2 linked regions of the Drosophila melanogaster genome follow. The protein of the gene in region 1 purifies or fractionates together with the protein of each later gene. This does not show direct contact. Each region holds a gene or a part of one and is shown in the gene's direction. Other genes may lie near its edges.

Region 1 (6,329 bases):
AGAATGTGAATTGAAAATTGGAAACGACCGAGAGGCAATTGATTTTTTTCTTTTGGCGACTTTTCACACCTCACTTGAACCGCCCGCACCAGCCAGCGTTACGCTTGTCAGTAGCCAATCGTTAGCCAAGTTGACAAATGAATTGTTAAGGTTGTGCCTGGTTTTTTTCACCACCAACTTGTCACGCGAAAAATCCAAAAATTCGACTTCTCATCGTCATAGAAAACTTTCGCCGTTTCGATAGATCGCAAGTCAGGGTTGCAAGCGATTGCAAATACTAAAAAAAAAAAGTAACTCGATTGTCACTAGTTTTTCCTGACAGGTTTTTAAAAGTGCGTAGCATGAGACACGCAAGTCAAGGCATGCGTTCACGCTTTTCGTTAACGATTATTGCTTAAATGGTTATTGCGTTTCAATGTAAATGTAGAGAGTAGCCTGCGGAAGACCGCACAAATACAAGCACGCTACCCAAAAATATCGAACAAAAAATACCAACTGCCTGCGAAGCGACAACCCTGAAACGTGCAAGAACATAATATTGCTAAGCGAAATCCAGCCCACCCGCCCCCTCTCCGACATGTTATCTGCACCATTATTCGCCTATATTCACTTACCACTGGGATGAATGGAAATCCCGGGCTCATCCGCCTGCAGACGGCGATTTCGTGCAGCTGTGACAGCGCTGAGGCGAAAACCACTTGTTAAATTTGGCCGAACGAACAAAATGAAACACCAAGCGTTCCGCGCGTCCACGTATTCTTCACTGAACGTTCTGCTGGCGAATTATCGTTGGGAAATTCGTCAGTTGCAACGCGTCGATTTCGGGGGACGAATTTGCCTACGTTTGACACTCAGATAACTCTTTTTTCCAGCAAAATGCAACACACGCAAAAACTTCGCGCTCCGATTTTTTGTGCCTAAATTAGTGTGACTGCAGAACAGTCTGACAAATGTACCCAAGAACGCCTAAGGTGGTATTCCCCTCGAGGTGTGAAACGTTGCTGAAGCTAAGACAACAACCAAATCAGACGTTCCTGAATTTGAATATTTTTTTTAATATTTTCGTTGACAATAAATAAATGGCCCACCTTTCGTTTTACTATATTTTAATTCAGAATCTTATCCGAATAGCTATGAAATACCAATGGGCGTTTTCTGCGTTACAAGCCAGAAAAACCAATTCGAAATACAAGCATTTATAATTTTTTCGACCCATTATACTACGACAGCGCCCGCACACATTCATTTATTTAAATTGAACATTTAATTTTATTTATAACATTGTTCTCAGTAAATGGTCTATTGCTTCTGTATGTTTATGTTCTATCAAGAGAGTTTGAATAATTCGGAACAAAGAACTTTTCCAAGTTTTTGGGTGTTGTTGCAGAGCTTAAGAATGAAAGAGTGGTATGAAGATTCACACGGTTTGTTCGTTCGACCGCTTAGAAGCCGTGCACCTTCAGCTGATCCGGCTTAGCTAGACCCACCTTCGTCAACCATTGACAGATGTTCTCACGCTGATCGCCCTGGAGCTGCAGAACCTCACCATACTCTGGGTGCTCGATTACAGTGCCATTGCATGCGAATTCCTGTGAATGAATGTAATTAATATGTTAGTGCTTTTCAACCAAATCCACAACCGACGAAGCAATCAATGTTTTAAACAATGTCTTGAATATGTGCAAATGAACTGCTGACCAAATAGATTTCAATAATATTCGCAGTTTCTTCAAAAATCTGTGCTTTGGAGCTATGAAATGGTTTCTATAGCAAAGAAATCTAATTATAATCGAATAATCTTTCAAACATCTCTTTTTGTATGTACCACTTAGTAAGGGATGTTTAAACTTCCATTCATGGAAATCAATAGATTAGGGGTTCAGATTTTACTGGATTAGCAGTTAAAACGCGTGCATATTATCTTGCTTCGACAGTTGAGGGATATTCCACACAAGGATACCCTAGGTGGACCCACCTTCTTGCAGGAGCGGACTATCTTCTTCAAGTCATACTCCGCGGACAGGCCCTGGACAGTGGTTAGCGTCTTGCGACCGTTCCTCTGCTGGATTCTTATATGCACTAGCCCGTCTTGAATATCATCATCATTGCCCTTGATTGCATCAGCAAAGGGGTCTGTAAAGGCGGAAAAAGGCTTGGTTATTGCGACTATCGGGAAATTCAGGGCATGCAAGATGTAAAACGCAGGTTGTAAGGCATGTAATCACACCCCAGCAGCGTGTTTTTCTTTTGTACCAGAATGCGCTTATGTGCGTGTGTATGGGTGTGTGTGTGTTCGTGATGATGACCGTCAGGGCGGCCATTTTTATGTACATGTGTAGGAGTCGGGGAAAAGTGTCTCGTTTGGCCTAAACTTACCACGAGTGTTTAAATTCTGGATGGACATACGACAATAAAAACAAACCACAGCCTAAAACAAAAACTTTTTGAAATGATTTGTTGATAGTCAAACTTTAATTTAACGTTTTACTGATTGAGTTTTTTTTCGGAAATGTGTCTGACAAGTAGACTAGAGCTGGAAAAAAATCGATTTCTAATCGATACTATCGAGTGTTCAGAAGATGGGCAACGCCCGCCAGCATCAATTATAATCACTTGATTTAAAATTGTTAATCACAAGGGTCTTCGTAAATTTATGAGTTTTTGGAGTTTTCGCAAATAATTAATCAATACCATAGCTTTTGCTTATATTCTAAAAATATGCTACAAAAATATTATAAAACTATATAAGCAATTAAATTTGCAAAAATTAAATTCATGTTATGTAGTTTTGAAAATACAAATCAGACAAATTTTAAATATTATCTGCTATGTGTTAGCGTACGAAATGCTTATCGATAGTTGCCCTGCCAACTCGCACAACACAGAATGCAACCCAGTGTTTTCGGCAAGCGCAGCCAACTTCGCGCTATGTCGGGCTGCCATATTTCTTTCCTTCTTGTATTTCAACGAGAAAAGGTGGGCATTTTGCGTTTGTTCTCGATTTGGTTAAGTTCTAGCGTTCTCTCAGCGTCCCAAGCGCTCCGCAAGTGTAGAGGTATAATGCCTGCACCACGTGTTGCCGTCTATTTGGCTGCCGGCCCGCTAAACCTCGGAGGTAAATTGAGTTTTACCCACACGTGCAACGCAGCGGGCAAATAGTGAATAAAAATTTGAATTAATTTGTAGCGAACCCATAATGGACTTAATCAAATAGTCTATATTACTAAGCGAACGTGGCGTTGATCAATACCAAATTTAATATCGTTTTTCTCTTTCTTTGCATGCTGCTTTTCCTACTGCTGATTTTACATGGATCTTTTCAATAAAGGTAAGAACACGTGTGGTCTTAAAATGCGTGATTAATTCTGTGATGAATGATTGAGCAGAAGAGTTCTTGAAGACTATATTCATCACCCAAGACTGAATATAACAGAAATATCGTTGTCTTTTATTCAGAAAAACATAATCTAACTGCCGACTTTCTTTTTGTTCCATGTTCACCTTTTGGCTGTGTAATTTATTGATTTTCCTTTAAAGGTAAGCATATAAAATGTGTTCAAAATCCTTATTTTTGTCTTAATGAGGATTGATTTAGCAGAAGAGTTCTTGAAGACTATATTCATCACCCAAAACTGAAAACGTTGCAGTTCTTCAAGAAATTAATATAGAAATTATTAATCTAATCACGAAATTTGTTTTTATTTCATGTTCCCCTTTCTTGCTTGCGTTTCTGGCGATTTGATCAAAAAGGTAAGCATTAAAATCTATATTGAGTACTTCAGTTGTGGCTTAATGAGGATTGATTTAGCAGAAGAGTTCTTGAAGACTATATTCATCACCCAAAACTGAAATACCTTTGAAAAACTTTAAATATGGCTTTTTCCTGAGCAATTACTAATATGTTCTTAACTTCTATTCCAGACGTGAGATGGCAACCTCTTCGCACCTCAATTGGTTGATCATTCGCAACAACAACGCCTTCTTGTTGAAGAAGCGCGATGTGAAGAAGCCCTTCAGCACAGTAAGTAAATATGGATTTAAATAACGTGCACCACATTTAAATGATGTTTCCAACTTATAACTTTCACAATGATATTTGAATACAACATGATAGTAACTTTAATCTGATAAAAGTTGGCTTCATCACTACTATGATATGACAAGCACATTACTGACTTCTAAATCCCTTCCAGGAGCCAAACAACTTGGCCAGCGTGAGCTCGTACCGCTACAGCGGCATCGTGCACAAGAAGACCCTGGGAGTCGTGCCAGCTGCCGACAAGAAGGGCTTCACCGCCGTGCTGAAGAAGGGCAAGTATGCCCAGCGCCCCGCCAAGAACACCGTGCGTGTTGACTTCAAGGCCGGTCCCCGCCGTTCCCTGAAGAAGCTGAAGAACCTGCTTATCGGCTCCAAGTACCGCAAGGACCTGACACAGGTGATTATGGCTCCAAGCCTAGAAACAACTGTTTGGGTTCTTGTCATGATGATCTTTTTTTTAATGCTACACAACCAAGATCGCAGAATGATCGTGTTGATAAACTTATCTGAAGCTCTCAAAGCTGAAGCTTATCGTACTTCAGTGTTAGGCCTATTCTAATGATTTTACTTGTGCTTATAGGCTGCCCTCCGCCGCGCTTCCGCTGTCCTGCGCTCCCAGAAGCCCGCCCCCGTCAAGGGAAAGAAGGCCGAGTTTGCTAAGGGAAAGAAGCCCGAATAAACTGTACCAGATTGGGGCTATGCGGAGCTGTTTTCTACTCGAGAATAAAGAAAAAATATTAAAAACACCGTAATATTAATACAGTTCTGTGGTTATTTGTCGATAATGGGTAGCGACCAAGTACTGCATACTTTGGGGCGGTAGTTATGAAATTTTCTATAACCATGAATGAGCTTACCATATATATTGTTGCTTATTAAACGACAAACTATATTATTGTTGATACAAAAGGTATCTTTAGATCAATCAATCTTTGTTTGCCTAAATGATTCTCACTTTTATTGAACTATTATTCCTGGGATATGGATGACGTTACACAGAAAGAGACCATGGAATTGCATTGACGGTTACACGAATAAAAAGATCAAGTAAGAGCGCTATAACTCTAGTCAAACATATATCGCTGCTTATAGTACGCTACACGTGGATTTTAAATGCGCATTGAGCTTGGCTGCTATACACAGCCTCAGTAGAAGTACTCGTACTTCTGGGCGTGGTGCAGCATCACCTCCATCGACTTCTTGCCCTGCAGGACCCCATTTCGTTCCATATAGTTCCAGATGGAGGCCATGAAGACGCAGAACAGGATCACGCCAAACACGATGAACTTGAGCAGCAGAAAGATAGTGCGCATGCCCACGGGGGCGGTGAACTCCACCAGAAGGACCAAGAGGACAAACAGGAAGGTGGCGGCGCTGTAGTACAGTATTCGATCAGTGTTTAACTGCAGCAGGGAAGCATCGCACAGCGCCAGAGCTTCAAGAAGGGCAGCAGTTCTAGCGGCGGGCATGGATTGAATGGAAGTGGAGCTTCCATTGCATTGGATCTCCGGCTGGTGTTGTGATGACTGATCGTCCTCTCCTGTCAAAGCATCCCCTGCTCCTACTTCCCTCACGGAACAGGTTTCACCATCCTCTACCAGGCAGTTCACCTCGATCGTTGCCACTGGCTCCTCACTTCTAGGTTCCAGCTTGAATAACTTCAGCTTGGCCATCACCGCCTCGTGGTCGGAGAAGCTAAATTTCTCGCCGGGTACTCGCTCCGGAAAAGGCAGTTTGTATTCGGCTATCTCAGCATTTACATGATCGCCACCACGCACAAAGATGTGATCGATACGGATACCCAGAGGATTTCTCTCCCGTGCTTGCTTAGATGTGTATGAGTTGTGTTCGCATTCGTTGGTCCGAAAAGAGTCCGAGTCGCAGCTGTCGAGCATCTTGGAGGTATAGAGCAGCACCTTGTAAGAGATGTCCTGTGGCTGGGCATTCAGGTCGCCAGCCAGAATCTGCAGCGCAGAGTTCCCCCTGGTGGCTTCAATGAATTGAGCAGTATCGAAGGCCTGAATAACGCGATGTGTCTTGTACTCGTCGTTGGCATTGTCGTACTCCGCGTGCAGGTGGGCATTATATAGGTGCACCATCTGCCCGCCGACGAGTATGCGGCACAGGCCCACACCTTTGCCGCCGAACCAATCGGCATGCTGAATACGGTGGAAGTAGCCATTTACGGACCACGCATGAAACAGAGTGCCCAGGATGGGGTACTTGGACAGTACCAGCAGACCGGCGCCCATCACGCCGCTGTGAAAGTAGTGGCTATGGGGCAGGACCG
Region 2 (4,503 bases), about 16 Mb from region 1:
TATTCGGTTGACGTTTAAAACCAGAACCGTACAGCTGACTGACCTGTGAAAACTCGTGGTTAAAGGATATCCTTAAGGACACTATATAAGTTTAATAAGAAACATTCCGCGCACGCAATAACAGTACTCTGTGGGAGGGGAAATGAGAGGATCTTGGATGAGAGAGGCTTATAATTTGAGGGCTCGAACTCGCGCTTTGGTAAATTGCTTTCTTTATGTGCCGGCCGCTCAACGAGGAACACCACGGCCAACCGAGAAATATCAGCGACGAAACTCGATGTTCAGCGTTGGCGGTGGGCAAAAGCTATTTTTAGAACACGCGTGTGTGTGTGTGTGAGCAGGGTGGGCGTGTGTGCGGGGCCCACCCCTTTTTCCTTCAGCCCACCTGGGTAAGTTTTCTCACTGGTAAATTATTATTATTATCAATTAATTATAATTTTTTAAAGAATTAAGCAGGTGGGAGGAAAATTTTTCCATCGGGAAAAAAGCTTGTTATAAGGTTAGACCTTGAACTTGCCAAGCTGGCAGCTTTAGCTCTTCGGCCATTAATTGTGCACTTTTTAAGAATACATATATTCATTTAGTTTAAGTGAACACTTTTAAACACATTTGACACAACACGATATTCGAAATATTATTATATATATTATATTATTATATTATTTGTAACTTTCTAAATTTAATTATATTCATTAAACATGCATGTAACCAGCTTTAAGAAATCGTATGATTTTTAAGAGCTAACCTTATTATGGCAGTACATAACAAAATTGTCACCTAAGGACCTCAGTGGGATGAATCATTAATATTTTGTAACTTTTAAGCATACTATTATTAAATACTGAAATAGTTTTATTAAAAATTATTTTATATAGATAAAAATATTTTTCACCAAAGGGAATAAATTATAAACATAGAAACACATTCAAGGACCTCATTTACCTTAAAAATATTAGGTTTATTACACTACAAAAAATTTAAGGGATTAATCATTACAAATTATATAATAATCGCCAGAAAAATTAATTTAATAAGGAATTAATTATAAGGTAATAATCGTTGATCGTCATTTTACAATAAGGATCAAATCGGAAATTGTATATCTTGTAATATTTAAACATACAAACGTCATAAAGAAAATGGACAAACCTACCCACTAATACTTAGTGACATTTTACTTCTACTATCAAAATAAAAATGTGCTTATCTGGCAAGCGGCCTCCTCCGCGTTTCCCTCAACTGAATAAACTTTATCAGCAAAAAAGGAAAAAAAAAAGAACAAAACTCGAAAAATACGAATACACACATAGTAGTGCAGCAAGACTTCAGCTGGTTAGCACAATGGAAAATTAATAAATAACAAGAGCATCATTAAAATGCGATGCTTGGTGTTACGTAACACCAAGCAAGTTCTAAACACCATAAAAATATCTAAAAATTCGACATGGAGAAAAAACACGCCTATCAAATGGGGACTACAACTCCGTGTACAGTACCATTAACACTATGATCTATTTAGATCCAAAGGGTATACTCACCAGTCTCCTTCATCATTTTCTCATCGTCGGTGAGAAAGGTGAGGGGTGGGGGGAGACCAGTTGCCGAGGACATCGCAGCACTTTGCTGACGTGCAGCGTTAGCCAGCTAAAAAGTTAATTAATAAAGAAAAAGGAATTAGTTGTAGGCATATATGTATGTATAAAGGTGTCGGTTAGGGGGGCGTGGCCAACTCACCATGCGCACGGGCAATTTCTTTAGGCTGTTCATCATCTTGAATGAAGTGGAAGAATTGATTTAATCAAGAGGCCAAACTGGACTTTTTTGAATTTTGGATCTGATCCCCAGAGACACCACAACGTTAAAAGTGGGCTGCTCACACGCGACTGAATTTCCATTCTCCACATATGTGGGGATCGTGGACCATAGGAAACCTGTTGCTGTTGGCGAAGCGCCATGTTAGTTAACAGCGGGCTGTATTTCGTTGAGCTTTTCGGTAACATTCTGTTAGTGCGGATGATCAACAGATGTTACTGAACTTTCTTCAACGCTGGTAAAAATATGAATTCAATCACTGAATTGCTATTGATTCTATTAAAACTATTTGTCTATATTTTTTATATTACTTACATATCTACTTTATTAATGGCCTTTCGTTAGATCCTTGATCTGTATTTCATTTTTTACAAAGGTATTAAGAACCGTTATTAAATTATAACTATCAGTATGTTGACATGTGAAAAATATGCTTTTAAAACGTAATAAAAACGTTTAACGAAAATTTAAAATTATTTTTATTTTTCACGAGTTGGGAAAAATTTAAACTGGTTTCCAATTGGAAAATATTGAATTGTAACAGTGAAAACAAGACCACGATTTTAGCAAAGACACACTCCCTTGAAGTGTTGCAAAGCACATGCTTTGAATTTGACAGTTCACGACTTAGAGATGACAGTGTTATCGATACTAGCTGAATTAAATTAAACAGTTACAGGAAGACATAAACAAAACAGTAAATATTTAAACAATTTCATAGGAAAAAAATAAGCGTAGAAGAAGGAAAATGAGCTATCAAAACCATTTATAAACGTAGAATCCAATGCTCTTCACCCCTGACAAGTACAACCGATAACATCGTTAACTATCGTTACGAAATACCACCTCCAGCACTGCCTCTTTGCCATCCCTAACCGCGACCCATCTGTCAAATTTCTTTCTTTTCGTTGATTTTTCGACGGTGAGTGCGTTTTCGTGATTAATTTCGTTTTTGGCCCGGCATCCCCACATATTATGCCCCATAAACAATGAAATCGAGCAGAGAAAACAACGCACGACTCGTTCGTGCAATTATTGTGAATTTCGGAGAGCCCGCCAATAAAGCAGTGCCTATTTTTTGTTTACAGCCCGCACAAGCAAGATGAAACAGAACCCGTTCGTGTCGTCGTCGCGCAGGAAGAACCGCAAGCGTCACTTCCAGGCTCCCTCCCACATTCGCAGGCGCCTCATGTCCGCTCCCCTCTCCAAGGAGCTGCGCCAGAAGTACAATGTGCGTTCCATGCCCATCCGCCGCGACGATGAGGTCCAGGTGATCCGCGGCCACTTCAAGGGCAACCAGGTGGGCAAGGTGGTCCAGGCCTACCGCAAAAAGTTCGTCGTCTACGTCGAGAAGATCCAGCGCGAGAACGCCAACGGCACCAACGTCTACGTGGGCATCCATCCCAGCAAGGTGCTGATCGTCAAGCTGAAGCTCGACAAGGACCGCAAGGCCATCCTGGAGCGTCGCGGCAAGGGTCGTCTGGCCGCTCTCGGCAAGGATAAGGGCAAGTACACCGAGGAGACCGCCGCCCAGCCCATGGAGACCGCGTAAATCGCCGGCTAAAACTCTGCTCTGGACAACTGGGACGTCGCTGTTTACTGTTTTTACCGTAACGCTTAGTGTAAAAAACAAAACATCTGAAAAAAATCGCGTGTGAAAACGGCGCCATTCTTTACAATAAAGGAAAGTTGATTTTCACAAATGGATCTGTTGGCTTATTTCCCTGAATGAAGTTTTAGATAAATGTGCCGGAAAACCGACGTAGCTGAGAAGTTTTGGAGTAGTTTAAAAAGAGACGCTCTGCTATTTGTTTTGCAAAGATTATTGATGTTTGATTACTGCCCGATTAGATTCTGTTTCAGATATAACTTATACTGCCATCTTCTCCATATTTTTGTTACTCTAAAAGTTAAAACCTTTAATTGACTTGCATTAGCTTGAAATAGAGTTTTCATTGAATTTGGACTTATAAAATGCTGTATTTGGCATCCATCCATTCAAATTAATAGTCAAATGATTGATTTAAGTTAAGCTTGTAACCAAAAATCCAAAAATAGCAGATTTAATACGTAATGGCTACTTACATGTATAATCGATCGTGTATTCCTACTATACAATCTTGATAAGCATCAACAGCAAACTTTCAAAGCTATTTAACTTTCCCAAAGAGTTTCATTTTGTAGGTAGAATAAACAGAACAGACCGATTTGAAAAACAGCCAATATTATTAGGATAACTAAAGAAACCAATATACGTCGGATTTCCCCTATTTATATACCCACTTTGGCAATAACGAATTAAAGGTATAAACGAATAAAGGTATTGTTGGGGATAAACTGATAGGTTAAGGAAGAGTAAGAAACGAGTATTTTTTTTGATAAGAAACAAAGTGAAATGCTTTATTTCACGATTATCTGTGTCGTTAATGGAAAAAGGCACATAGTTTACACATGTACATGAATTTGGGATATGTATGTTATTTTCATTATCTCAGAATAATATGAGATTGATTTTGTCATTTGCTCATCTGAACTGCGAGCAATACTTGTTTCACAGCACATGTTAATTTTAACAATTTGGCCGTGGAATTGTTTTTTTTGGTTATAATAACGAGTATAAGCCCCGATAAAATGTTTTGGTTTTTGTTCTTTGGCAGTGGGAGTAATTCTTGATGAACACGAACTACTGGC

Evidence for each region. Proteins that work in one complex are often made in the same cells at the same time.
Region 2: the proteins of RpL28 (region 1) and RpL26 fractionate together in Drosophila melanogaster (co-fractionation; one study listed by BioGRID). This does not show direct contact.

The regions. Positions count from the first base shown.
Region 1 is NT_037436.4:3,219,574-3,225,902, reverse strand, and holds RpL28 (ribosomal protein L28), read left to right. Parts: upstream 1-2,944; 5' UTR 2,945-3,115; exon of another isoform or gene 3,116-3,328; intron 3,329-3,361; exon of another isoform or gene 3,362-3,537; intron 3,538-3,573; exon of another isoform or gene 3,574-3,750; intron 3,751-3,786; exon of another isoform or gene 3,787-3,853; intron 3,854-3,921; 5' UTR 3,922-3,928; coding exon 3,929-4,021; intron 4,022-4,055; exon of another isoform or gene 4,056-4,132; intron 4,133-4,193; coding exon 4,194-4,436; intron 4,437-4,475; exon of another isoform or gene 4,476-4,553; intron 4,554-4,619; coding exon 4,620-4,718; 3' UTR 4,719-4,992; downstream 4,993-6,329. Other genes in the region: eIF1 (eukaryotic translation initiation factor 1), read right to left, coding at 1,443-1,589, 1,976-2,133, 2,377-2,404; nSMase (neutral sphingomyelinase), read right to left, coding at 5,185-6,329.
Region 2 is NT_037436.4:18,896,406-18,900,908, forward strand, and holds RpL26 (ribosomal protein L26), read left to right. Parts: upstream 1-2,698; 5' UTR 2,699-2,734; intron 2,735-2,900; 5' UTR 2,901-2,914; coding exon 2,915-3,364; 3' UTR 3,365-4,003; downstream 4,004-4,503. Other genes in the region: CG3902 (uncharacterized protein), read right to left, coding at 1,539-1,644, 1,735-1,770; arx (asterix), read right to left, coding at 4,496-4,503.